7 linked regions of the Ovis aries genome follow. Each later gene encodes a partner of the first gene's protein in a complex. Links are inferred from orthologs where the notes say so. Each region holds a gene or a part of one and is shown in the gene's direction. Other genes may lie near its edges.

Region 1 (3,976 bases):
CCCGCCGGGGTCGAGGCCGGCAGCGGGATGAGCTCCCGGGAACTGCGCGGAGCCGGAGCGGGAGGGGGCCGAGAGGCGCGGAGGGTGGGGTTGCCAGCTAGTGCCGGAGGGGCAAAGGTCTGGGCTCACGTGAGACGCACCGTTCTTTCCTGTAAATACGGAGGATGTTTTTATGCGTTACTGTGAAATTTTTTTTAATGTTAAAAACATGCATTTCTGAGCGTCTTTAAAGGAGATACAATGTGCACACTTCGCCTGGGAGGCGGTAGACTTGAGTTTAGCCCTCCATAGCAACTTCGGGGGTGAATTTGCTGGGTATGGGTTGTTAGCTAAGATTCCGCAGGGCTGGGACCTGGGGCTTCGGGGAAGCTCGATGGGGAGGTAGTCTGCAGGGGCTGCCCATGTTTTGGGAGGCTAGCGGTGATGCTCGGCGGAGCTGCGCGCTACGTAAGCGAGAAGCAAGACCCTGGGCACTGGCTGGAAACACCGAGCCGGACTCGCCGTTCCGCGGGCTCAGACTTCCCCGCCCAGGCGAGGCGCCCGCGAGGCCGAGCCGCTCCCAGGACCCCGCAGAAGCTGCCAGGCGCCCCTCCCGGAGCCACCTGCGCCTGACCCTCGTCTGGACAGCCCCTCCGCCCTTCTCCGGCCTCAGGTCCGGGGCATCCGCGGGGTTGAAGATGCGGGCTCCTGCCTCCCTGAGGCTTAGCCCTCGGGCCGTCGCCTCCTTTCCGGGCCCTGCGAGGGGCGGCGTGGACCCGGGCCGGGGGCGGGGTAGGCGCAGCGGTGCCCGGCGGGGGTGCCCGGGGTCCGGCGCGGGGCTCCGGGAGCAGCGCCCCGCCCCAGGCCACACCCGGCCGCGGACTCGCTTAGCCACGGGGTCTCTATCTCCCCGCGAGGCCCGCCTGCCCCAGGGAGAGCCCGGGCCTCCCTCGGGGACGCCGCCCCCCGGGGCCCGACGCTCCGCGCAGCCAGCCCCGCAGGCCGCGGCCCGCGCCGGCCGCCAGAGCGGGCACCGCCCTCGGCGAGGCTCCCGGAAGCCCCGCCCGGCCGGGGCTCTGACGGGCGGGCCTCTCGGCCAACCGGGGCGGGGCGAGGCGGGGCCCGGCGCGCTCGGCCAATCGCAGGCCGCGCAGGGCTGACGGACGGGCGTGGGGCGGGGCGCGCGCGGCCGGGTCCAGTGTGCGCCGCCCGCCGCCGGAGCCGCACCCGCCGCGGACGGAGCCCATGCGCCGGGCGAGCCCTGCGCCCCGGCCCCGGCCCCCTGCCGCCGCCCCCGCCCCCGCCCCGGCCCCGGCCCCGGGGGCAGTCGCGCCTGTGAGCGGTGAGTGCGGCGGGAGCGGTGGGCCGGGCGGGGGGCCTGCTGTCTGCGCTCGGCGCGCGGGGGCGCAGGTGAGCCGCGGGCGGCGGCGGGCGGGGCGCTGCGGCGGGGGCTGCGGGAGGCGGCGGGTTCGCGCCGCCGCGCCCCGGCCAGCACCTCTGGCTCCGTGTCCCGGGCCCGGCCTTACGGGCTCCGCAAGTGACCTGGGTGTCCGCGAGCAGAGGCGCTAGGCCGGGTCTTCCACCCGCGGGAGCCGCACGGGCCCCTCCGGAGAGCTCGGGCATCCGGCGGCCATCACACGCCCGGCGAACCGGGGGTTTAGAAAGTCACTGCTTGCGGTCCCCGCAAGGGCGCCTCTTCTTTAAGCATCACAAACCGCTGACATCCCAGCTGGGAGCCTAGGGCCCAGGCCCTGTCCCGTTCTCACCTGTCCCCTTGCGCCCACACCTCTTTTGGGTCTTTTCCTGTGATCTGCTTCCTGGAGCCTCGGCCCCCTGTCCACCTCCACAGCTGCTTTATATTCTCCAGAGTTCTGGCAGTGGGACCCGTGGGCTCATGCGGACTTTCCCCTTGGAGTGTCGCCCACACCTGCCAGGGCAGGGGTTCTTCTGTCCCCGTGCGCCTGCAGCAGCGCCTGGCATGCAGTAGGTGCTTACTGAATACTTCTCAGATGCACCAGCATGCCCTGGGGGGAGGGCTGGAGCAGATTGTCGGTTGCCACCAGCCTGTCTGGGCACGCTGCTGTGCCCGCCACTGTGGCAAGACCTGTTCTCGTGGGGGTGCTGGTAACCTCAGCCCAACGCACCTCTAGTTTAGGCTTTTTGCCTACCCAGCAGGTTCTAATTCGGGTACGTGCTTGGGAGACGCTCCCTGCTCCCAGCCTTGCCTCTGAGGGGCCTGCTCCTTGCTCCTTGCTTTTCTGGTACAGTCATTAGGGGCAGCTGGAGGCAAGACCCCCTCCCATCTCTGGGCTGCAGGTGCCACAGGTGAGGGCTGGACCACCTGTGTGGCTGCTGCCCCTGTCATCTGGGTGGATAGGCCCAGGGGGCAGGCCGGAGCTGGCCAGGCTGGTCCAGGGAGCTCCCTGCGCCCGCCCTGCACGGTCCGGCCATGCTGAGTGTGGCTCCCTCGGCAGGTGGGACCGCAAACCACTGCAGCGCCTCGTGCCTCGGTCTCCTGAGGAGCGATGACGGAGTATAAGCTCGTGGTGGTGGGCGCCGGCGGCGTGGGGAAGAGCGCCCTGACCATCCAGCTCATTCAGAACCACTTCGTGGACGAGTACGACCCCACCATCGAGGTGAGTCCACCTGGCTCCTGTCCGCTGCTCAGCTTCTGACGTGGGCCTGACTCGCACCTCCTCTAAGAAAGGGTCCCCGTGTCACAGGCCCCCGGGGCGGGGCAAGAGAGGAGCGAGGGAGGTCTCCCCCCGGGAGGGCCGGCTGTCTCTGAACAGTGTCGTCCCTAGGACTCCTACCGGAAGCAAGTGGTCATCGATGGGGAGACGTGCCTGCTGGACATCCTGGACACGGCGGGCCAGGAGGAGTACAGCGCCATGCGGGACCAGTACATGCGCACCGGGGAGGGCTTCCTCTGCGTGTTTGCCATCAACCACACCAAGTCCTTCGAGGACATCCATCAGTACCGGTGAGCTGCCTGCCGGCCCTCAGGGGCCCCTGGCCCTCTCTGTGCCCTGAGTGCACCCAAGCCTGCGGGCTGCCTGCCAGCTCAGCCTTTCCTCCTTGCAGGGAGCAGATCAAGAGGGTGAAGGACTCGGACGACGTGCCCATGGTGTTGGTCGGGAACAAGTGCGACCTGGCCGCGCGCACCGTGGAGTCTCGGCAGGCCCAGGACCTCGCCCGCAGCTACGGCATTCCGTACATCGAGACCTCCGCCAAGACCCGCCAGGTGAGCCCGGCCCCTGCCCCGCAGCCAGCCAGGGCCCCGCCCCGCCCACCCGGGACAGGGCTCACTGCCCCCTCTCCCTCGACGCAGGGCAGCCGCTCTGGCTCTGGCTGCAGCTCCGGGACCCTCTGGGACCCTCCGGGACCCCCGTGACCCAGCCGCCCCTCTCGCTGTAAGTCTCCCCGGATGGCAGGGCAGCGAGGGAGGCCAGGGCCCGGGTCTGGGCTGAAACAGCTCCTGGGGGAGGTGGGGGTGCCCGGAGAGAGCTGCCCTGAGCCAGACCGGAGCGGTGACCCTGGGGCCCCAGCCCCCCTACCCCCAGAGTGCCCCGCGGGTCCCAGGGTGCCCCAAAGACTCAGTGGGCTGGCAGCTGAGGACAGGCCTCCCGACGAGGCGGGCCTGGGGCCCGAGGCAGGCAGGACCCGGCTCCCTGTCTGCGGGGTGGGGAGAGGGCTGGGGCCCTGCCCGCGGCTGAGGCGGTGGTCCTGCCCTGACCCGGGCCCTTCTCCTAGGGCGTGGAGGACGCCTTCTACACTCTGGTGCGCGAGATCCGGCAGCACAAGATGCGCAAGCTGAGCCCACCGGACGAGGGGGGCCCCGGCTGCCTGAGCTGCAGGTGCCTGCTCTCCTGACGGCAGCGGGGGCGTGGAGCGCTGGGTGCCACGCAGGAGGCGGCACAGCAGGGAAGGAGGGGGGTGCCGCCAGAGCCCGGCCCCCCAGGCCGGTGGACAGAGTGCCCACGGGCCTCCCGGGACG
Region 2 (3,500 bases), on another chromosome or scaffold:
ATCGAAAAATAAAGGATTAAATAATACTACTTTCATGCCTAGTACAAAACAAAGCCGCATGAAAAACACACAAAAGGAAGGAGTCAGTCCTATGGCACTGTTTGGTTTATAAAATGCAGTTTGTTAGGTTAACGGCTAATGTTGTATGGTCTATCATTATAAATCTTATTTGTGTAAGGTAGTGTTTTTGGAGAGGATTATAAAATAATATTTTGCACTAAAGTTTAGAACAATAGAAGTGAAAATTTTCTGCAAATAAATTACTTTCTCATTTTATTTATAAAGGATGTGGAAGAATATATACCAAACTATTAACAAATGGTTAGCCAAATGAAGAAAAATGAGACTGGGATAGGAAACAGGGAAATGGTAAAGGGGAACTTCATTTTTAAATTTTGGTTGTATGAACTTTTTATAACAAAGATATTCAGGTATCATTTATATGATTTTAAACTATTTTTTTTTTCAATAAAATATTGAGTAAAATATTTAAACGTTACTTTTCATATAATGTTATTTCAGGTAAAGCAATGAAAAAATGGGTTGAATCCATCACTAAAATAATCCAAAGGAAAAAAATTGCAAGAGACAATGGGCCAGGTCATAATATTACATTTCAGAGTTCACCTCCTACGGTTGAGTGGCACATAAGCAGACCTGGGCACATCGAGACTTTTGACCTGCTTACCTTACACCCAATAGAAATTGCTCGACAACTCACTTTACTTGAATCAGATCTATATCGGTATGTAATTTGATGTTCAAGCTGAAAAATCCTTTCAAATGAGTTAACTTTAAAAATGAAATCTGATTTCTGGCTTGTAAGATTATTATAAGACATAATGAGACAGTACACCAAGTGTCTTGTAATAAGGCCTTCTGTATAGAAGACGCCTCTTCTTTTACTCCTTGATCACCTTTGCCCTATCTGGGCTTATAACTTCTCTCTCTATGCAGTCGCCCCAGTCAGTGAATCTACTAAATTCATGTGTTGTCGTATCCTCGGGCAACTTTAATCTTCTTGTGTGACTTACTCCTCTGCTGCTTAGTTTCCTCAAGAGGAAACGGAGTTAATGATGGCACCTACTCCTAGAGCTGTTGTGCAAGGTTTAGAATAGTCCGTATATTTATAGCATTTCGCTATAAATACACTGCCCCACACAGAGTAAGGGCGCGGTGAGTTAGATAGCACCATTGTCATTATGAACTTCAGTCATGGCCATTTAACCTTTTTTAGTTTTTATACATTGATAGAGCTGCTAATCTCAAAAAACATGCCTGTTTCTAGTTTTAAATTTAGACTTTTTAGATTTCAAGCTGTTTATTTTTTAAATAACTAAATGGAAAAGGAAACTAAATGTATAGCTTTCCCATCAAAGATCATCACTGTTCCCAAAATCAGTGTTAGAACCTTTTGTTTTTCTTTTCCAAGACTCTTCCTAAGAGAGTTTTTCCCCTTCCTTGAAGGGGTGAGGGGTGAGATTTATGAATTGCAGTTATTACTATACCCTCAATTATTATATCATTATTTAAAAGAGTTATCCCAAACTACTTTCTTACCCTCATTTGTTAGATAATATTTATAAGTGCTGGGAAAGACACTGTGAAGAAATTCCACCCATGCCCAAAGCAAAATACTGCTCTAAAGTAATAAAAAAGAGTACACAGGTACACGCATACAAAATTTTTTAAAATCAATAGAAAAAATGCAATATTATAATGCTTTTGTTTTACCTTGTTTTCATAAACCTTTTATCTCACTTACTTGATAAAACAGTATACTAGAGGGAAAAGTATCACATAGAATTATGTCTTGATGATTTTAGAGCTGTACAGCCGTCAGAATTAGTTGGAAGTGTGTGGACAAAAGAAGACAAAGAAATTAATTCTCCTAATCTCCTGAAAATGATCCGGCATACCACTAATCTCACTCTGTGGTTTGAGAAGTAAGTCTTACCGGTCGTCTTAATTTCGCAACAGTCAGTTATGTTATAAATCTCACTGCAGTTCTGTTTCCGTGTCTCATGTGTTTGTTGCTGTTCCTCTGTTCTGCCTTTCTTCGACAGTTAGTGAATATTTTTCTAAAACAGCATTTTAAGTGTTTTTGTTGTTGTTGTTGTTAATGATTGCCTTTTAGGTTTGCCACATTCATCATAACAGAATTAGTTTCAGATTATACCCGAATTCCAGTGACATATAAAAAAGTTACTCCTCTATAGTTCTATTCACTTGGAGAAGGCAATGGCACCCCACTCCAGTCCTCTTGCCTGGAAAATCCCATGGACAGCCTAGTAGGCTGCAGTCCATGGGGTTGCGAACAGTTGGACACGACTGAGCGACTTCACTTTCACTTTTCACTTTCACGCATTGGAGAAGGAAATGGCAACACACTCCAGTGTTCTTGCCTGGAGAACCCCCGGGACGGGGGAGCCTGGTGGGCTACCGTCTATGGGGTCACATGGAGTCGGACACGACTGACGCGACTCAGCAGCAGCTCTATTCGCTGCGTCCCTTTGTGGTATTGGAACACGCGTTACCTATAATTAACGATGCAGATCTAGCAGTGCATGGTTATAATTGTTGCTTTTACTACCACTTGGTATTATTTTCTTAGCCCTTCCCAGCTTTGCTCTCTTTTTGGCAATGTATTTCACATACGTTACATTTCTATGTGTTATAGACCCAACAATACATTACATACATATTATTTTATCCAGTTGCTCTTTAAAATCAGTTTAAAAAACCAATGAGGGAAAAATAGGCATTTACAGAGTTTTTTATAATTAAATAATTACCAGTGTTCTTTGTGTGGATTCACACTGCTATCTGAGGTTACTTGCTTTTAGCTTGAAGAACTTAAGTCAGCACTTCTTATATGGTGGGTCTGTTAGCACCAGTTCTCTTAGTTTTTGTGTATATGGGAAAATGTTTACTTAGTCTTCGTTTTTGAAGAACAATACCTCTATAAGTTTAACTGTGTATTTCTTCTGCCAGTTCAAACTGACTATTGAGTCCCTCTAGTAAAATTTTTATTTTAATTATCATATTTTTCAAATCCACGGTTTCTGTTTGGTTTCTTCTACAATCCCTGTGTTTTTTAGGACACTCCTGTTGATACACACTGTCATCAGCACCACCCCCCCTCGCCACTTTGCTTTTTAAATCATACTTCCCTTTAGTTCTGTTAATAAATTCAGAATGACTGCTTTAAAATCTTTTTTGTTGTTGTTGTTAAATCTGACCTATCAGATCTGTCTTACAGGCAATTTACCATTCCCTGTTTTTTCTCCCTGCTGTTTCATCTCTGTCAAGATGTGAGTCTTGACATTTTAGATGTCAAAGGAGATGGGAGCCCTGTGTTTTGGGCTAATTGTGTCCCCCCATCCCCCGCCTCTGCAAGTTTCTCTAAGGAAGCAGACTCTTGCCTCTCTTACTGAATTGTAAATTTCCTGAATAGATGTTTCTTTACTTGCTATTTACTCTTAGGGCCATTTCTAGAG
Region 3 (2,187 bases), on another chromosome or scaffold:
GGGTAGATTATTATCTGCAAACTGAATCAGGCTCCCAAGTCTCTAGGCCCCGGATGATTCAAACTCTGTACAATTTCCAAAACCAGTTGGATTTGGAAATCTATCCTCCAGTCTGTGGAATGGACAGATCTCTCACTTCCAAACCAAGACCGGTTCGCAAACCTTGGATTGCTTTCCAAATTCACTGTTTCGTTCACTGAATAGACACTGAGCACCTCCAGGGCGCTAGGCACAGTTACAGGCTCTGGGTGGGGGTGGAAGGGGACAGGCAGAAACAGAACAGACACAACCCCTGCCCATAGAATGTATGTTTTATTAACTCCAGATTTTGTCCGATTCTCATATCATAGGTGACTCTCCAAACTTGAGACAAATCTCCGAATTCCTTTAGTCTTCCAGACCCCACAGAGGCCTCTAGCCTTGGGCACTTCCAAAACCTGGATGGTTTCCTGCAGACAGTCCCTGTCCCTACCCCAATCACAGCCCTCCCTCTCCTAGCCTAGGTAACCTGTTCTGCTCTCTCTTCCCAGCTTTGGGGTGTCACCAAGCAAGGCTACCGCTGTCGGGGTGAGTGGAGCTTCAGTAGAGAAAGGGGATCTAGGACCTGCAGGCTGGGAGAATGGCGGACGTGGACTGGGCCTCTGGCACTAACCTCTGAATTTCCCCCAGACTGTGGGCTGTGTTGCCACAGACACTGCAGAGACCAAGTGAAGGTGGAATGTAAGAAGAGGCCAGGGGCCAAGGGCGATGCGAGTCCCCCGGAAGCCCCTGCCCCACCCACTCCAGTTCCCCAGGCCAGCTGTGGTAAGACCCAGGGTGTGGCAGTGCTGGGAAGGGGTCCTGGTGGACAGATGGGGATTCATTCCGAGGTCATGAGGCCTTTCCCATCATACCTACGTCCCTCCCACCTGCACCCCTACACACAGGCTCCGAGGACAATCTCTCCTACACACTATCCCTGGAACCTGAGACTGGGTGCCACGTTCGCCATGCTTGGACCCAGACAGAGTCCCCACACCCCTCCTGGGAACCAGAGACGGTGAGGAGGAACTGCCCCCTACCCCCAACTGGATACGGGGAGACCAGCCTAGTTGCCTGGGGGAACCCAGACAGACTTGGGGAAGAACAGGAAAAGTGAAACGATGCAAAAGCCCTCAACTGCTTGGGTGGGAGGGTGTAGATATGGGTTAATTTTTAATGTTGACAGCAATTTCAGTATATTGGTGGGGAGGGGAAGGGGTAACCCCTAGTACAAAAGAAAAAGTGAGTTTAGGAAGAAAAACAGAAAGAAAACTATAAGATGTCAAGATTAAGGCCAAACAGATCAGATATTAATAAATATTGGAGTAAATTCCACTCGTAAAAAGAGCAACGTCTCAGAATGAGCTAAAGAAACTTCACTTTGACATGTCGGGGAGGCTCTCCCCGCAGTGAACCTGAACATCATACACTCCCCACGTCACCCCATGTCATCCTCCTTCCAGGTCCCTCTGCCAGTGAAGGCCTCACCACCCACCAAGTCCTCCAAGCTGAACTCCTAGATGTTGCCTTGGTCTCATCTCTTCCCCACTTCCTCCTCCAGAGTCAGTCTCAAGTCCTGTTATTCCGTCTCCTTCCCATCCACACTGCCTTTGTTGAAGCTTCTGTCATCTCTTACTCCAAAAGAAAGTTATTTTCTTCTTTTGCATCAGAGTGGCTGTTAATTGTATTCCCTTTTCTTGCATGTGATATCCGTGCAACCCACTCCAGTATTCTTGCCTGGAGAATTCCATGGACAGAAGAGATTGGCAGGTTATAGTCCATGGGGTCGCAAAGAGTTGGACACGATTGAGTGACTAAACAACATCATCATCTTGCCAAGTCCTTAAATTCCCATTTTACAGATGAGGAAACAGGCTCAGTGAGGTCAAACTGCTCACCAAAGGGAGCAGAACTCGTGAGTGTTAAGAGTCAGGACTCCTACCCAGTTTGTCTGCCTCTCACATGGAAGCTACTGACCAATATACTGCACTGATGTCAGTATGGGTCAGGAGCCAGAGGGGACAGGGGGTAGAGTTCCAAACTCTGAGGTGGGAGAGAAGGTCAGAGAAGGGGTGGAACAGGAAGGGAACCTCTGAAACCTAAGTCAGATCAAACCCCTCCTCTGCTCAGAGCCCTCCTATGGCTCCATCTCACTCAGTGAAACCA
Region 4 (3,980 bases), on another chromosome or scaffold:
TCTCCTCTTGCCCCCAATCCCTCCCAGCATCAGGGTCTTTTCCAATGAGTGAACTCTTCGCATGAGTCTTAGAATCTATTAAAAAAATTTTCATTTTATTTTTTTTAGCTTGAAATAGTCATATAGTCATTTATATAATGAAAAGAGAACGGAAACACTAACAGGACTCTCTCGGACCTCCAGGCAGGTACCCCTCCAACTGCCACCCCCGCGGGCCTCGGCCGTCGGGTTTCTGCGCCGCCGGCCACGGCGTCCGCTCTACCGGTCGGGAAGCGAGGAACTGGCTTTGCCTCATCTCCCCTTCTCTTTCCCTCCCTCTTCAAGAAACCCTCCTCGTCGCTCACAGGTTTTTACCCCGCTGAGCGGCCGCGTGCCGGGGACCCACTCCTCCCCTCCGCCGCCTAACCCGTCTCTCAGACAAAGCCCAGTCAGGCAGGCGCGCGCCACCGGCCACACCGACCGGCGAGGCGGCCGCGCCGCCACGCGCTTCCCCACTGGCTCGGGACTGCTAGCTTGGCCGCGCCTCCACGCGCTCCCCTCGGCTCGGGACAGCGAGCGCTGCCGCACACCGCGCGTCCCCGCCGCTTCCTTCCCTCCAGAGTCTTCCTTTCCCTCCTCCAGACCCAGCACGCCACACCCCCACCCCAACCCACCGCCTCCGCGCGGGGAGTGCGCCTGCGCAGAAGCTGCCCTCTCGCCCCTCCTTCCCCGCCCTTCCTTCCCTCCGCCCCTCCTCCCGCGCCCCGCCTTCCTTTCTCTCGTCGATGTCACTTAGCGCTCCAGGTTGGGAGCCTTTAGGTTGATTTCCCCGCTACCCCGCCCCCCTTCCTCTTTTTCTCCCCACCCCTCCCGCCTCAGCCCGGTGGAGGATGAGGCGGCCGCAGTGGCCCCAGCCCCTGCAGCGGCACCGGCGGTGGTTGCGGTGGGGGTGGCCGGAACTGGGGTGGTGAAGAAGCGGTGGCGGCGGCGGCGGCTGAGGGAGCAGCAGCCGCCTCAAGCCGCTTTCCCCCCCGCCTCGCTTCCCTTCCTCTTTAGTGCAGCCAGGAAGTTTTTCGCTTCTGTGCATGTGTGTGTGTGTGTGAGTGTGCGCGCGCGCGCGAGTGTGGGTGTGGAAGGTGAAGGTTTGGGCGGCGTTTGTGCAGGCGTTGGGGTTTTTTGCCCACTTCTCTTCCCGTAACCCGGGGAGCTCCCGAACCTGGGCTGTGGCCCGGAGAGGGGGCGCGGCGGCAGCGGGCTCTCTCCTTTTGTTGTTGTTTCCTCCGCCCGGGGAGCTGAAGAGGGGACGCGCCTGGGTGGGGCGGCTCGGAGCCCGGGCCTGGTGGCCCCTGGGGGCTCCCGGGCGGGCAGGGTAGGGCCGCGTAAAGCGGGCTTCAACATGATGGCGGCCGAGGCCGGCGGTGAGGAGGGCGGCCCGGTCACCGCCGGGGCAGCGGGAGGCGGCGCGGCCGCGGCCTCGGGTGCCTACCCGGCGGTGTGTCGGGTGAAGATCCCCGCGGCCCTGCCCGTGGCCGCCGCCGCCCCCTTTCCTGGGCTGGCGGAGGCCGGCGTGGCCGCGACTCTGGGTGGCGGAGCCGCTCTGGGGTCAGGCTTCCTGGGACCTGGGTCTGTGGCGGGGGCCCCGGGGGGAGCCGGACTGTCAGCCGGAGGCGCTGCCGCCGGCGTGGCTGGTGTCGCCGCCGCCGCCGCCGCCGCCGCCGCCGGACCCGGCGGGGAGATGGCTGAAGCCAAAGGGACCACTTCGTTGCCCACTGAGACCTTCGGGGCCGGCGGCGGATTCCCTCCTCTGCCGCCGCCTCCTCCTCAGTTGCCCCCTTTGGGCGCTGGCCTGGGAACAGTGGACGAAGGTGACTCTCTGGATGGACCAGAATACGAGGAGGAAGAGGTGGCCATCCCGCTGACCGCTCCTCCGACTAACCAGTAAGTCAAGACCGGCGTTTTGGGGGAAGCTGACTCCTTGGAAAGAAATAGGAAAAACAGGTCTAGTTCTTTTCAGCTGTGACTCGTAGTGCTTTCAGCTGTGACTCGTGTTTTCAGCTGTGACTCGTTCAGAAAAAGTTCTGAAGCTCAAGGTTCCGTGCGTACGGATTTAATTTGATCACTCATCCTCCCTACAGGCACACTCCCTGGCGTCTTGGTATATTTATTGCTCCTCTGGGAAGATGTAAAGTTTTCAAGATGGGAAGCATGGGAAAATGTGTATCCAGGGAGAACCGGATATGGTTCTGTCCCTTGCAGATTGAGGTGGCGTCCTGGGATTCAGCTGAGTTTGCAGCTACCGAGGCAGTCGTAGTCTGTATTAACCTGGTTGCATTCCCTGTTGAAGCTAGACAATTAGTGAGAAGCTTTGAATATTTGAGTGAATATCGTGGTAGTATTGTTTGAAACGTGCCTTGGTCGGATTGCTTTGTTTTTGTTGCCCTGCAATTCCCGGCTTCTGGCTGTTGAAAGCACTGCGATGCAGAAAAGACTTTGGATTGCTTTTGAGAACGTGGGTCAGCGAGAAAGGAAAGTTCTGTTAATTACTGGTGTGGTTAAGGGCCTGTACTCCCACAGTATTTAACATGTGCAGTAGAATTCCCGTTTACTAATATGCTAGTATAATTCTTCTGTAAGTTGAAACTTTGTAAGTACAGTATTGAACTAGAATTAATATTGTGCTTCCCTTCACCTTTTGTTGGTGGCAAATACAGTATTCTATTTGAAAATTAATTTTGACAGTCTTCTGCAGAATATACAGGACAAATGACTTACATATATATATAGTACTTTCTCCCTTGTTCTCTTCATAAGTGAACTTAGGTTTGGATCTTGAGAGGAACATGTTGATGGGCAGTAGGCAAAACTTGTTTTATAGATCCCTCATATCTGTCTTAATTGTCCTTTAGAATTTTGACAACCTTGGTGAGGTATCAGAGGAAGAAAGATTTGATTCCTGTGTTGACCATCACTCTAGACAGTTGAAGGTGTTTTTTGTGTCTGTTTTTTTTTTTTCTTTTCTTTTTTTGGATAAGCTTCTTTAGAAAATTTAGAAAGGACTTAACAAATTAGGGCATTTTTGACTTAAGGCTACATACATCTTTTGATGGAAAAGTAAAGTTAATCTTATGTCAGCCATGGGACAGGGGAGTTTTATTCTTTTTATATTGTTCATCATGAGTTCAATTTTTTGTCTAATTTAATTTCTGCTTATCATTTCTTATCTACATATTGCAGACTTCTCTGAAGGTGTTCTGAAAGTATTAAAAATTCAAAATTTACAGCTCTGTTTACACATCTTCAAGCCTTTTTCAAAACTACTTAAGTATTAAGGGCCCTGTGGTTATGATAAAGTTCAGCTTTTCATAATGAAAGAATATAGTCTTATGTTAGTTCTTAACTAAATTGAATAAGGCATATTTAGTGTGTTGCAGTTCTAAATTTTTTTAAAAATAGAATTTATTTGTTAGAGCAGTTTTAGGTTCACCGTAGAAGTGAACAGAAAACACAGTGTTCCAATTAAATTTTTAATAAATATAAATGAGAACCTAAGAAAAATTATTCTTGTGAGAAATCCATTGTAAGATTTTCATCATTTGTGTTTGGGAATAAAAATATTATTTGTGTAACTCTGTATATGAGAATTGTTCATGTTCTAAAAAGTATCCTCCATTTCACTATAGTTTTTAAAAGTTGCCAACGAGAAGTACAAATTTCCCTCTCTTCTTTATCTTAGATATCAACCCAGACTTACTGGAGGCAATACAGTGTAGGGGTTAAGGTGCAAAATCTGAAGTTAGACAAGATTTGGGTTGGAATCCTGACTCTGCTACTTACTAGCTGTATGATCTTGCAAAGGTCAGGTTCCCCATCTGTAAAATGGGGTAATAATGCTATCGCCCTCATATGATACTTTTTAAGGTTAATGAGAAATCCCTGAATGTATTCAGCACAGTAACTCATACGTAGTAAGTGTTCAGTAAATTGGCTCAAATAGTACATAA
Region 5 (4,111 bases), on another chromosome or scaffold:
TATGTAACAAGTTCAAAAGAGATGTGTGCTTTCTTCTGGAATTTCAAACAAAGATGCACTACATTTAAATAGCTTCCACAGCATTATTTCTTGGGGCTTTTGTTTTTGTTGTTGTTTTTGACTATGCAAAATGGTCTTGTATACAAAGATGCATAAATCAGTTTATTGAAACTGAATTTTCCATGGAAACTGTCCAGTGCTCCCCCAATTCACAAGCACTTTATCTGACTGTCTTTCTTCCTCCAGATAATGGCTGGCAGCAACCCACAGTGTGGAGGTTATACGCTGTACTTTTGAAAAAGTCTTGAATGGAGCCATTGTTCCCCTGAGATGGTCTGTGTGTTTCACTGAACAGAGAGCAGGGTGTAAAAAAGGCACCTTGTGTGCAACTGTTGGCGAGGTTGGGGAGTGAATTAAAATCTCCAGAAAGTCTGGGCAGTGCTGTTCAGAGGAGCAATGAACCCTCTGGAAGCACTGTTAGCTCAGACATTCCAATGCGGTGAGGCAGCCTCAGGGACATGGCTCCCTCCAGTCTCATTTAGAGAGGGATGGAGGGGGCGAGCAGAGGACATTGATCTGGACCTGATCTCTTTGCAAAAAATTGGTGAAGGCCTTTCCAGGAATGGGGGGTTATTGATTATCACGCTCAGATAACTTTCCTGACTAACAGACCTAGTCTTTCCTTGGTTACTAATAGTGAAGTGACTCATTTGGAGGATTCATGTTAACTGCTTGTGCATCTATCAGTTTGCAACAATCTAATTCCTGTGCGCCTATTTTTTTTTTTTTTTAAACAGACAAGCCTTTGAGGGCTCTGGGTTGTTAATGATGTTTGATATTACTAATTCATTAAATGCATTATAAAACCGCAATCCAAAACTGTATAGTGAATAAAAAGCCTACCTTGTGTATTGTCAATAATGCTTCCTTTTTCCTGGAGCCTCATTCACCTCCTCAGGACTGTGCAGGCACAGGGATTGGGGGCAGTGACTACTTCCTATTCCTCTAGTGCTAAAATCTGAAACTTTTCATGAACAAAAACTTTCCTCTGTCTTCTGCAGAGGTCTTTCCACAACCAGCTCTCAAGGAAGGAGGTAATGTTGATTTTCATTAAATTCCTAGTGGTGAGAAAACAGCAAAACAGTGTAAGAACCCAGGCTGACATACTTTTCTTAAAGGCAGAATTCTTTGGTGCACCCTCCTGTGCGTTCTTTGGTCCAACCCCTCCTGCGCCTGGAAGCTCAAAGGATGGGAGGCCACTTTTAACAGTGACCTGAAAGAAGGGGTCAAACGAGCAGGAGGAAAATGTGTGGGAGGAGTAGAGGTTCGGAGTGGGAGAAACACCATGTCGGGTTCCTACAGTCACGGGGAGTTAGTCTGGAAGGCAGTCGGGAGCCGATGGAGATTTCTGCACAGGGTAAGTTGCAGAAGAGGAAGGACCACACGGCTGCGGTGTGAGGGAGTACGAGGAGCGGACAGACGGGAGGGGTGGGGGCCCCCGGGAACTGGGCTTGACTGAATGTAGGAGGAGGAATCATACCTATGGAACGGGTTGGTCCATTAAAATAGGTGAAGAGGGAGAGGGATTGGGCGGAGGCGGGTGGGGGGTGGGGGGTGTGATAATTCGATTTTTCTCCAGGTCTCTGGCTCTCTTGACTGTTAGTTGGGTATAAAAACCACCTCAACGGCCAGGGGTGCAGAGGCTGCAGTTTCTGGCAGCGCTGACCACCTCCTGCAGGATTTGGAGTCCATAGACCTGGATGTCACTATTTGGATGGTCACTAAACTCTGCGGCCTGGCACAGCACTGGGCACACTGTGGGGCTCAATAATAAATCGTTGTTGGATGAATGACGGAACACATTGGAGACTCCGTGCTGCCCTTACCAGAGTAACCTTGGTCAAGTAATTTAACCTTCAGGAGCCTCAGTTTCCGTGTGTGTCGAGCAGGGACGGTGCCTGGCGGAAGGTGTGACTGTAAATGCTCGCGGCCTGAGTTGGACCGAGTTTCGGCTCTCCGGCCAGAGCCGGGAGACCTCGCCGCACTCTCTCCAGCTCCCACTGCGGCCCGGACGCCGGGCGGCCCTGGGAGGCCGGGCAGGGGTCGCCGGGCCGACATCCAGGGCCAGGGTGGCGGCCGGGTCCGCCCCTCGCGCCTGCCTTCTCCGCGCGGCCGGCGGCCCGGGGGCGGGCCCGTCTCAGGCCTCTCCCCCCGGCCGCCCGGCGGCCCGCGGCGGCGCTCGCGGCCTCTCACCCGGGGCGGGCGAGTTCTGGGAAAGCCCGGCCCAGGGCGGGGGCCCCGCTGCCGCCCGCGCCGCCGTCAGGGCAGCGCGCAGAGCTCGGCGGGCGCGGAGCGAGGTAGCGGCGCCGGGCGGGGGCGCACCGCGCGGCGCGGGGCCGGACGGGCGGCGGGGGCGGCAGACCCCCGAGCGCGAGCGGCGGCGGCGCGCCCCGGCTGTGCCTCCCGGGCTGCGCCTCCCGGGCACTTGCCCGGCTCTGCGCGCTCCTGGCATCCGCTCCGCCGCTGACACACAGTAGCGGGGACACCCGACGCCGTTAGCGACAGGCACGTTCCAGAAGAACGCTGCAACTTGGGGACCCCGGCGCGCCCGGCCAGCAGAGGAAAGGTGAGGAGGAGACCCTGGAGCTCGGTTCCCGAGGCGTGGAGAAGGGGAGAGAGGGGCTTGTAATCCCTGAACCAGTCAGTAAAGCCGCCGAGGGCACCCAGCCTCACCCAGTTGTACCTGGCGTGAGAGTGTCCCTCTTCCGCCCCATTTCCAGGGGAAAACTGAGGCAGGCGACTCCCGAGGGGACGAGAGCCAGCCTCACATGGGCTGGAGGACACCCCGGTAGGGCTTCCTTCGCCCCTTCAGATGTTTGCCTTGGGTCTCCACTGCATTTTGTGTGTGCAGCACAAAGGTGAAAAATATAAACTCTTTCTGAGGCGGTCCCTAGCGACAGTATTTCAAGGAAAAGTGCTCAAGAGATTGTTCCTGGAGAGATTAGCTACATCAAGTCCTAGAAAATACAATTTTGGACCTGGATCTCACTTTCACTGGCCACTAGGAGAATGGCTACGTCTTTTTTGTTCAAGTCCTCTAGTGCTGTGATAATGAATAACCTAGAAGCAAAAGTCCTCCATTGTAACTGATGTTAAATGCACAGTGCAAATTTATGTCCCGGCCCCCCCCCCCCCCGCCCCCGCCCCCCTTGCCTTATATTTAAGTCATGAGACACTTGGTACAACTGACTCAACTAATTATTCAATGTACGAGAGATCCATCATCCATCATTCAAAGATTTAGCAGCATCATTTTAAAGAGGGAGCACCCTCAATAGATATTAAGGAGGAGTCACTTGTGGAAAAGTTTTATTTCCACATGGTTCTTAATTTGGGTTGCATCATGCAAAATTTGCCACTAGGTCATTTAGATCCCTGCAAGATTAGTGCATTTCCTTGTGTTTCTGGTAAGAACTCCTGGTAGGGATAGGGTGGGGTCCCTGTCAGAATGGGCACAGCCAAGGCCTGGGGTGCTGTAACCCGCCAGGAAGAATTTTTGAGAGCCTGTTTTGGGAGGTGGATTTAGGTGACCCGGTAGATGCACTTACAGGGCCCAGTTGGCCCTGGGGGAGAAGGGGTGGTTGACTATCTCTGGATGCTGTATCCAGCCATATCTTCACAGATGCTTTCTGAAGAATACCTGGGGTGCTGTCGTCTAAAACACCCTTTGCTCTTCCTGGGTGCCCTTTCTGCTCCATTTCATCTCTCTAAATCCTAACCAGTTTTGTTGCTGCCGGAAGACCTTCCCTCATACCCCAGTCCCAGATAGTCAACTTTCTCAGGCTCTGATGCCTGCAGCATTTTACCTTCCTGGCTTTTCTCCTCTCAGCATTCTTTGAGAAGTTTTTATGTAGATGTTTCATTTCCCTACTGAAGGACTTCACTGTGGCTTTCTTGGCACAGTGCTTGCACCTAGAAGCCTCTCTGGAAATTGTGCTATGGCTTTGGTTCTTCAATACAAGTCTCTGTTTTGGAGAAGAGGATTCAGAGAAGAGCACAGTGTTTACCATTCGAATTGTCCTCCACTTACAATCCCACAGGGGAAATTTTC
Region 6 (4,109 bases), on another chromosome or scaffold:
GATTCTGTAGGCTCTTTGACTCAAAATTTTGTGCCTCTATGTAGTACTACAGATTTCTCACAGGCTGGGGATTAGCAAACCCTGGGCGTCGGCAGTGGTTGGTGCCACGGGGTGTGTGTGTGTGTGTGTGTGTGTGTGTGTGTGTGTTGGGGGTCACACAGATATGGAGCAGGGGGGTTGCCAGTGTCTTTAGAAGGCAGTGTTTGCCTTTCCCTGGCAGAGGTTGTGAAGGTTAAGAAAACCTGGTTAACAGAAGCCAGGGACAGATGTTACCTAATTTGGTCAAAGAACAAAGAGTGTATAAAACATTTGGAAACCCGGAACAGTGCACTGGGATGGGGCACTTATTGGAAGAGCAGAAACAGATTTACCACTCAGAATTCAGAGTAGGGCGACTGCATCTCAGGTGAGCATAATGTAATTACCACTTCAAGCAGTCTGGATTTGGGGCATGGAATCTTTTGGGTTGGAAGCTTCACTGCACTACTTCACTAGCCCTGTCTTGTACCAGGTACTCCATGACTTGGAGCCTCAATTCCCTTATCTGTAAAACGGGGTAAACGTCTAATTTATGAGGCCGTTGTGAGGTAGAACGCGACTAGGCAGAGTAGGGGCTCATTCGATGGGAGCTGCTCTTATCAGAAGAAAATGAATAATTTTCCTAATTCCTAAGAGGTCAGGTTTACTCATACCTTACTCAGAATTCTCAAACATCTCCGTAGTTTTCGGCACCGATTGTACTGCCTGTTCCCCGTCCACCCCTTCTCCCTCGCCGGTGTCCTCAGCTGCAGAGTGGAAGCAAGAGGCACGTGGGGGAAAGACTGGGACAAACCTGGTCCCCCGCTCTCCTGGCACGGTGGGCCTGTCATGGCGGCCCAGCGACAGCTCTCCAATAGCAGAGCAAGAAGAATGAAAGGTCTAGGGGGTCAGGGCTGCCCAGACCCCTGCCCCGCCTGCGCTCTGCCAGGCTAGCCCCGAGGGAGCGCCCGATCACATGGATCCCGCCTCCCGCGACGCGGATCCGCCCCGACCCCGGGCTCAGCCTCGCGCTCCGGCGCCCACCTGGGGAGCCCGGGGCCCGAGCCTCGAGGGCCGGCAGTCAGGGGCGCGGGCCCCCAGCCAGCGCCCCCCAGCGCCACGGACCGCGAGCGGGGCCCGCCCGGCGCCCTCCCCGCCCCCTCCGCGCCTCGCCCCGCCGCCCGCGGCCCCCACCCACCCGCCGCTCCTCCCCTCTCCCCACCCTCCTCCTCCGCCCCCTCCCCTCCCCCGCCGCCTCGCCTACCGCTCGGCCGAGCGTCTGAGCCGCCCTGGTCCAGAGCGCAGGCGGCGAGGCCACCGCACCTGCAGCGCGCTCGGGCTGCCGAACCGGCACCTCGCCTCCCGCCGCCGGATCTCCTTCTACCCCCACGCCGGGTCTCCCATGACGCCCGAGTCCCCCGGCCGGCGACAATGACCACTTCCCTGCAAGATGGGCAGAGCGCCGCGGGTCGGGCGGCTGCCCGGGACTCGCCGCTGGCCGCCCAGGTGTGCGGCGCTGCCCAGGGGAGGGGCGACGCCCGCGACCTGGCGCCGGGCCCCTGGCTGCACGCGCGGGCACTCCTGCCCCCTCCGGACGCGACCCGCGGCTGTGCGGCAGACAGGTAGGCAGCCCTCGGAGGGCGCGGGGGAGTGTCCTGGGTTGGCAGCCGGCGAGGGGTGAGGAGGCGGTCCTAGGGGGTGAGCCATGTGCCCAGATCTGGGCCAAGTTTGAGAAAGTCTCAGAAGACAATTCCCTTTGAGCTGGCAGAACCTACCGGATGGGCAGGACATTGCGATCTCCCAGCGCCTTATAAATAGCATCACCGATTCATTGAGAGCTCCGGGTCGCTCTCGCCTCTGACCATCGATGTGAACTAGGAGGCCAGGCTCCAGGCTGACCACCCTCCTTCCTTCTTTACTGCGTTAAAAAACAAAATAATCCCTTTTATATATTATAAAAAAATCAGAATAAATCAGTTCGCCTCCCACATGGAGTCTTAGAGCGACCCTGGAGAGGCAAAGTACGGATTGACATTTGAGCAGTCTAGCTGTTCAGCAGGAAAGAATAGAGGCTTTAAAGTGTTTCCCAATCTCCATAGCATTCAGCCCTAAGTGCCTGTAGAATTCACAATTTCACACATACTTTAGGAAAGAAAAAGGCTGCAACAATACAAAAATCAATAGTCCTTTATATTCATACATTTAAATGATGTCTTTTTTTTTTTTTTTCTTCAGATTTTCAAAGTGCTTCAACTTCACTGAAGTTAAAATTACTCTGCAGTGGACCAAAGTACATTAATACTAGCAAGTTCTATTCATTTACCTCCTCAAAAACACTGCCTTGCAGTTTAGTATCTATAAGCACTTGAAAAATCAGCAGACTGTGTGTGGGCCACATTGTGAATGAAATTTGAAGTGAGATGAACCACAGCTATAATTAATAAACCATAACTTTCAAAAGTGATTAGTAGAATAGAATAGGGATGAGTTCACTAAATGTTTATAGACTGTCAATTTAGTGGATGCAAAACAATGTCTAACTCCTCAGGATGATTTTTACTTCAATAATTCTCTAGTCTGTATGTCAGTTTCAGGAAAATTATCAGAAGTGCTGGAAATGGGGCTTCCAGGCCTGGTGATTTTCTTTTTAAAGGCCAAAAGAAAAGAAAGGAAGAAAGGAATGCAAAAGGAGATTGATTTATATCAATTGACATGTTTTATTCTGACCCACAGAAAGTACACCACAGACTTTTCCTGTATACTTTACATTAGTATTGTCACAGAGTGGGGCATTCTGGCCTTAACTTTTTAATCCTGACAGCAATTATATTTTACATTCTGTTTTATGTAAATTACATCCTATGTTCTCTCCGTGTAGGAGAAAAAAGAAAGATCTTGATGTTCTGGAAATGCCATCTATTCCAAATCCTTTTCCTGAGCTATGCTGCTCTCCATTTACATCTGTGTTGTCAGCAGGCCTGTTTCCCAAAGCAAATTCAAGGAAAAAACAGGTATGCATTTTAAAATGTTCTAATTAAACAATCTTAGAAGTTCTATATCCATATAATCTTTAAGATAGTAACTTACAATATTAGCAAAAGGTTAGCATGGCCTATTTTAAATAGCTCTATTAACTGACATAGTTCTTTGCCATTAGTTCCCTTTAGGGTCTCACTTTTCACATCTGTATAGTGGGTACATTAAAACATACCCATCAGGCTTTTGGAATGGATTAAATGAAAGAATATATGTGAAGTACAGAGCCTAGGAGCTATTATTATTCACATTGTAACTGGAGAGTTATATATGATAACAACTGATCAATTTTAACTCAGAAACTGGAAGAGCTGGTAGTGATTTAGAGGGAGAAGGGAATTGACCGGTTCTTTTAATACCTTCTTTAATCTTTCATATTTTCAACCCAAGCCAAACTTATTTACTAAAGGAAATTGATTATGGTGAATCTGTGGTGAAAGGTAAATGGAGTTTTGGACTCCACAGGTTTTCTTTCATTTCAGCGAATTCCTCAGTTTGGAAGTTTCTGACTGCAGAAGACAGATGACTTGTAAGTGATGTTTAGCTTATGGACTTAATTTTTATGATTTTCTTTCAAGTTTCTAGTATGGAGCTGACTTGAGCAAATTAAACTTCAAGAACCAAGCAGCTGTGGGGAGATGCATCACAATTATAAAAAAAAAAAAGTGTTTCCTAGGTTAATCCCATCTCTTCTGAATATACTTCATTCTAGTCTTGAATCAGCAAACAAAGAGAAGCTTCACTATGTACCTTGTTCTTGCAAGGGTTGTTGTTCATAGTCGCTAAGTCGTGTCCAACTGTGACCCCATGTACTACAAACAGCACACTAGGCTACTCTGTCTTTTACTATTTCCCAGAATTTGCTCAAACCCATGACCACTGGGGGCTTCCCTAGTAGCTCAGTTGGTAAAGAATCCACCTGCAATGCAAGAGACCCCAGTTCAGTTCCTGGGTTGGGAAGATCCCCTGGAGAAGGGAACGGCCAGCCACTCCAGTATTCTGGCCTGGAGAATTCCACAGACTGTATAGTTCATGGGGTCGCAAAAACTCGGACA
Region 7 (3,500 bases), on another chromosome or scaffold:
CTCCATTTTATAAATGAAAGAAAACAGGCTCAGTGAGGTTAAAGCTACTTTGACCAAGTTCACGTGGCTAACAAGTGATAGGGCCAGGATCTGAACCCAGTTCTACCTCTAAGCCCTTAGGTTCCTAACTACTGTCCTGTAATATCTTCCTTGTTGAGTATTCCCATTTAACTGAGGAGGTACCGTTTTGTTCCCAGAATAAACATCATTACAGTTTTAACAGGATTCAGGAAGCAGTTCTTATAATTAGGTTTCTAAAATAAGAAATTAATCTGGTAGCAGACAAGTTTGATTAATAAGTTTTATTTTAAAAGCACAATACTATCTTGAATCAGAAGGAAGGAAAATGTATGTATTGAACAAAATAAGTTTGATGGTACATTTTTGTAAAATTCCTGGTAACTCAGAAAGCATGTCTGTGCCCTTTTAGACATTTCACAACTATGACAGGAGAGGGGAATATAAACTGAAGAAATACAGTTTCATACTTTAGCACGTCATTTGAGGAAAATACAGCTTGTTCCCCCATGACCTTATAAAGTAATGAGAAGACTACATGGGAATGAAGGGAGAAAGAAAGGGAAATTTATTGTTTTAACAGTAGTTATGTGCTTTGAGTGGGCTGACTAAGGAGTTACTGTTATTTGTTTTGTAAAAGAGCAAGCCATCTTCTCTGATACCATGGAGAGCTCATTGACTAGAGCAGTAGCCCCTAGTGCTTATAAGGATTTCCTTTCAGCTTAGACTTAATCCTTTTAAGCTCCTAGCTACAGGGATAAATGTTGATTTTCAAGGTAGCATTTTTACCACATTGAATTTGTTTGAAAAATGATTCAGTCATTCTCTGCCTTATTCTTAAATGTTGCTGTGTGCATCATGTTTCTAGGTAGTTGAGCCCGTGAAACAATATGAAGAGGAGAAAATAGCCTTTTAAGGAAATTGGCCCACAGAAAGGATGGCCTTCTTGGACAATCCAACTATCATTCTAGCTCATATTCGACAGTCACATGTGACCAGTGATGACACAGGAATGTGTGAGATGGTTCTCATTGATCATGATGTTGACCTAGAGAAGATTCATCCTCCTTCAATGCCTGGAGACAGTGGGTCAGAAATTCAGGGAAGCAATGGTGAGACTCAGGGCTATGTGTACGCCCAGTCGGTCGATATTACCTCAAGTTGGGACTTTGGTATTAGAAGACGCTCAAATACAGGTAAACATTGCCTTTTAGTCCTGTCTTCTGAGCTTTAAATCAGTAAACAGTCTTATAGAATAATGCGTAATGTTGGAATAAGTTTAATGGGAAAAGTTACTCTGTATTGATAGGAACATGAGTGTATTACACTAACAGTCTAAGGCATCTCTCCATCTCTTCGACTGAGTGCTGAGAGTCTCTGGAATGACGCTGTTAGAGGAAGCAGACAGAGGAGGAGTAGGTGAAAAAGTTGACTATGAGAGAAATGTTCGAGATTCTGTTCTAAAAAGTCACCATGTAGACAGGGAAGTGGACTGTCTTGAGGATCTTTACCAGAGCTACACTATTACCAGTAGGCAGGGTTCAGGTTACGTGATAAAGAGAGCTGGCCAGACAAGGATTGCGCTGTCTGAGACAGTTCTCGCCCTTGGAGGAATCGTACTGGGTGGCGGATTGGAGGGAGACAGCCGGCTGTTAAGGCCGCATTTAGTTGGAAGTCCTACTTGGGAGTTGAGATGAGAAAAGGTGCCCCCGTTTTTGATACATTATTTAGTTGATCTCTCTACCCTTTGGTATTCGTGGCCTGAAAATGCTCAGTTTTAGCATAGGTATATTTAGTCATTAGCTTTTAAAAATTCATTCCCCTTTTCCAGCTTATGGTTTTGGGGAGCATTTCAAGGGGTATGTGATGAAGTCCTTTACGTAGATCAACTATTTAGACTATACAGTGTAGTTGTTTTAATATGATGGTATTCTATGAGATAATTTTTTTATTTAGATAATCAGAAAATATAATCTCCTAATAAGTGGCAGTAACCTGCTAACTCCCAGGGAAAGTAATGTGGGATATATAGTAGAACCCTGAAAATATTTGCATGTTAATTTTCATAGTCCATATCTAAAATGGATGGAAAGGAGTACTGCTGGTAGAACAGGATACAGTTTACACTAAAAAGCATGTTAAGGTTTTGGTTCAGAATTCAGCGTTCTGCGACATCTGTCAATACAAAGAATAATTTGCTCTTGTGATGAAAATAATTAATAGCATTTCCCAGTATCCAAAGGAACTTTAAGCAAAATAGGATTCGAGTGAAGGTTTGAATATAATTTCGAACCATTGGTTCGCAGTTCTCTAGTTGAAACTGACTTCCTTGCAAGTTATTGAGATATCTTTTATGACAGGCTGAATGGATTTAGTAGGAGCATGCTGCTAAATTGAGAGCTTTATGATTATAATACTTTGGCTGTACCCTTCAAATTTATTAATTGCAGTCGAATGTATTTTGCTGCTGTGGAGTTGGGTTCGATCGAGTGACACTGTCAGAATGTTTTTGCCAGCATAGTTTAATTTTTGCAAGATCTGTTTCAGTGTTTCACTGCCACAATGCTAAGGCAGGAATGTAAGATTTCCTACCTTGAAAGTGGTTGAAAGAAAACTTTATTTTATTTATTTATTTTTATTAGCATTGGGCCAGGATAGGAAGTTGAAGATTAGCAAGAGGAACCTAATATGAAGAGGTGGCATAAGCTGTGACTTTCTTTTCCATTGTAGTCTCCACGTGCTGGACAGCATTGTTTGCTGTACGGTATTTCTTCAAAAGATCCAGTTAACTGACTTTTGAAGGTTGAGCAGCCAATCGTAGTATAATCACAAATGCATAATTTTAGGTGATGCTTTTGTTTTTGTTGTTGGAATTTCTTAAGCTAGCACTTAGATGCTAATAATTAATTAAGATTGTGGGGTATTCGATGACCAAGGAATTTACTTTTTAATCCTTTCAGCATATCTTAAAATTTTGTATAAGAAAAATTATTCTTTTTAAGATTTGACTAATGTTACAAAGATACAAATCATTTATTTTACTACCTATAAACTGTTTCAGCCCACTGAAGAAAAGCTATGCTAATTTATATAGCTTTGACATTTTATAATTTTCATGATTTTTAGATAAAGGATTTTATATTTAAAACTTTAATAGTCTAGTCTGAGTTCATTTATCTTTAATTTTTGAAACGGGTAGAGTAATTCATAACAGTAATTTTATTCCTGTAATGTAATATTCACTTCAGTTCATTTGTGCATTAAAATTCCTTTAAGACCGTTATTAATGATTTATATAATGAAATGTCATATTAATCACAGAAGTTTTCACATTTTATTATTCTCTTCCATGTTAATACTATCTTTATGATCTCTATTAATGTTTTATATCCTCTAATTTCAATTATAAATCAAGAATATTTTCATGTTTTTGTTGGTATTTGCTTTTCAGGGGTGCCACCTTTAAAATTTTATGACTTTTT

The links.
Region 2: the proteins of HRAS (region 1) and SOS1 are in contact, whole or in part, in a crystal structure (PDB 4NYM), measured with the Homo sapiens proteins. The link is inferred for Ovis aries from reciprocal best matches to the Homo sapiens genes HRAS and SOS1. Residues at the interface, in NP_001123914.1 of Homo sapiens: Gly13, Gly15, Ser17, Ala18, Thr20, Ile21, Gln25, Asp30, Glu31, Tyr32, Asp33, Pro34, Thr35, Glu37, Tyr40, Arg41, Asp54, Ile55, Leu56, Asp57, Thr58, Ala59, Gly60, Gln61, Glu63, Tyr64, Ser65, Ala66, Met67, Arg68; in NP_005624.2 of Homo sapiens: Glu589, Lys602, Trp809, Thr810, Lys814, Leu822, Met824, Ile825, Arg826, Thr828, Thr829, Thr832, Glu836, Asn869, Leu872, Val875, Ser876, Asn879, Ser880, Ser881, Tyr884, Ser908, Asp910, His911, Tyr912, Lys913, Leu916, Phe929, Phe930, Gly931.
Region 3: the proteins of HRAS (region 1) and RASGRP4 are in contact, whole or in part, in a crystal structure (PDB 6AXG), measured with the Homo sapiens proteins. The link is inferred for Ovis aries from reciprocal best matches to the Homo sapiens genes HRAS and RASGRP4. Residues at the interface, in NP_001123914.1 of Homo sapiens: Glu3, Gly12, Gly13, Gly15, Ser17, Ala18, Ile21, Asp33, Pro34, Thr35, Ile36, Glu37, Tyr40, Arg41, Asp54, Leu56, Asp57, Ala59, Gly60, Gln61, Glu63, Tyr64, Ser65, Ala66, Met67, Arg68, Asp69, Gln70, Arg73, Thr74; in NP_733749.1 of Homo sapiens: Tyr228, Gly232, Val234, Val244, Asn248, Ser251, Asn288, Met291, Ala292, Gly295, Gly296, Cys298, His299, Ser300, Leu327, Ala328, Ser329, His330, Asn331, Asn332, Tyr333, Ala334, Arg337, Leu351, Gly352, Val353, Leu355, Lys356, Val359, Ser360.
Region 4: the proteins of HRAS (region 1) and RASA1 are in contact, whole or in part, in a crystal structure (PDB 8BOS), measured with the Homo sapiens proteins. The link is inferred for Ovis aries from reciprocal best matches to the Homo sapiens genes HRAS and RASA1. Residues at the interface, in NP_001123914.1 of Homo sapiens: Gly12, Gly13, Ser17, Ile21, Gln25, Asp30, Glu31, Tyr32, Asp33, Pro34, Thr35, Ile36, Glu37, Asp38, Ser39, Tyr40, Arg41, Gln61, Glu62, Glu63, Tyr64, Ala66, Met67, Lys88, Lys117; in NP_002881.1 of Homo sapiens: Gly746, Arg749, Glu783, Thr785, Thr786, Arg789, Ala790, Thr791, Glu799, Lys803, Ser833, Arg894, Gly898, Phe901, Leu902, Arg903, Cys906, Pro907, Leu910, Asn911, Met914, Arg928, Ile931, Ala934, Lys935, Gln938, Asn939, Asn942, Val944, Ala948.
Region 5: the proteins of HRAS (region 1) and PLCE1 are in contact, whole or in part, in a crystal structure (PDB 2C5L), measured with the Homo sapiens proteins. The link is inferred for Ovis aries from reciprocal best matches to the Homo sapiens genes HRAS and PLCE1. Residues at the interface, in NP_001123914.1 of Homo sapiens: Ile24, Gln25, His27, Val29, Glu31, Asp33, Ile36, Glu37, Asp38, Ser39, Tyr40, Arg41, Glu63, Tyr64; in NP_057425.3 of Homo sapiens: Phe2138, Pro2146, Glu2147, Gln2148, Pro2149, Arg2150, Thr2151, Val2152, Ile2153, Lys2154, Lys2171, Tyr2174, Ser2175.
Region 6: the proteins of HRAS (region 1) and GRB14 are in contact, whole or in part, in a crystal structure (PDB 4K81), measured with the Homo sapiens proteins. The link is inferred for Ovis aries from reciprocal best matches to the Homo sapiens genes HRAS and GRB14. Residues at the interface, in NP_001123914.1 of Homo sapiens: Glu31, Asp33, Pro34, Ile36, Glu37, Asp38, Ser39, Tyr40, Arg41, Tyr64, Met67; in NP_004481.2 of Homo sapiens: Val109, Lys111, Asp116, Glu117, Thr118, Ser119, Arg120, Ala121, Leu122, Asp123, Lys140, His142.
Region 7: the proteins of HRAS (region 1) and MAPKAP1 are in contact, whole or in part, in a crystal structure (PDB 7VV8), measured with the Homo sapiens proteins. The link is inferred for Ovis aries from reciprocal best matches to the Homo sapiens genes HRAS and MAPKAP1. Residues at the interface, in NP_001123914.1 of Homo sapiens: Gln25, Asp33, Ile36, Glu37, Asp38, Ser39, Tyr40, Arg41, Leu56, Glu63, Tyr64, Met67; in NP_001006618.1 of Homo sapiens: Glu277, Ser278, Phe280, Ala286, His287, Gly288, Phe289, Ser290, Leu291, Ile292, Gln293, Arg311, Arg312, Lys313.

Annotation. Positions count from the first base shown.
Region 1 is NC_056074.1:47,140,318-47,144,293, forward strand, and holds the start of HRAS (GTPase HRas), read left to right. Parts: upstream 1-1,176; 5' UTR 1,177-1,389; intron 1,390-2,453; 5' UTR 2,454-2,504; coding exon 2,505-2,615; intron 2,616-2,783; coding exon 2,784-2,962; intron 2,963-3,063; coding exon 3,064-3,223; intron 3,224-3,310; coding exon of another isoform or gene 3,311-3,373; exon of another isoform or gene 3,374-3,392; intron 3,393-3,732; coding exon 3,733-3,852; 3' UTR 3,853-3,976. UniProt on the Homo sapiens protein: Involved in the activation of Ras protein signal transduction. Ras proteins bind GDP/GTP and possess intrinsic GTPase activity.
Region 2 is NC_056056.1:85,175,659-85,179,158, forward strand, and holds part of SOS1 (son of sevenless homolog 1), read left to right. Parts: intron 1-522; coding exon 523-745; intron 746-1,826; coding exon 1,827-1,946; intron 1,947-3,500.
Region 3 is NC_056067.1:47,592,609-47,594,795, reverse strand, and holds the end of RASGRP4 (RAS guanyl-releasing protein 4), read left to right. Parts: intron 1-530; coding exon 531-567; intron 568-669; coding exon 670-804; intron 805-926; coding exon 927-1,039; intron 1,040-1,484; coding exon 1,485-1,541; 3' UTR 1,542-1,687; downstream 1,688-2,187.
Region 4 is NC_056058.1:84,552,121-84,556,100, forward strand, and holds the start of RASA1 (ras GTPase-activating protein 1), read left to right. Parts: upstream 1-1,180; 5' UTR 1,181-1,375; coding exon 1,376-1,917; intron 1,918-3,980. UniProt on the Homo sapiens protein: Inhibitory regulator of the Ras-cyclic AMP pathway. Stimulates the GTPase of normal but not oncogenic Ras p21; this stimulation may be further increased in the presence of NCK1.
Region 5 is NC_056075.1:15,047,541-15,051,651, forward strand, and holds the start of PLCE1 (1-phosphatidylinositol 4,5-bisphosphate phosphodiesterase epsilon-1), read left to right. Parts: upstream 1-1,311; 5' UTR 1,312-1,417; intron 1,418-2,333; exon of another isoform or gene 2,334-2,626; intron 2,627-4,111. UniProt on the Homo sapiens protein: The production of the second messenger molecules diacylglycerol (DAG) and inositol 1,4,5-trisphosphate (IP3) is mediated by activated phosphatidylinositol-specific phospholipase C enzymes.
Region 6 is NC_056055.1:144,978,769-144,982,877, forward strand, and holds the start of GRB14 (growth factor receptor-bound protein 14), read left to right. Parts: upstream 1-1,309; 5' UTR 1,310-1,449; coding exon 1,450-1,640; intron 1,641-2,896; coding exon 2,897-3,029; intron 3,030-4,109. UniProt on the Homo sapiens protein: Adapter protein which modulates coupling of cell surface receptor kinases with specific signaling pathways. Binds to, and suppresses signals from, the activated insulin receptor (INSR). Potent inhibitor of insulin-stimulated MAPK3 phosphorylation.
Region 7 is NC_056056.1:10,416,937-10,420,436, forward strand, and holds part of MAPKAP1 (target of rapamycin complex 2 subunit MAPKAP1), read left to right. Parts: intron 1-886; 5' UTR 887-955; coding exon 956-1,214; intron 1,215-3,500. UniProt on the Homo sapiens protein: Component of the mechanistic target of rapamycin complex 2 (mTORC2), which transduces signals from growth factors to pathways involved in proliferation, cytoskeletal organization, lipogenesis and anabolic output.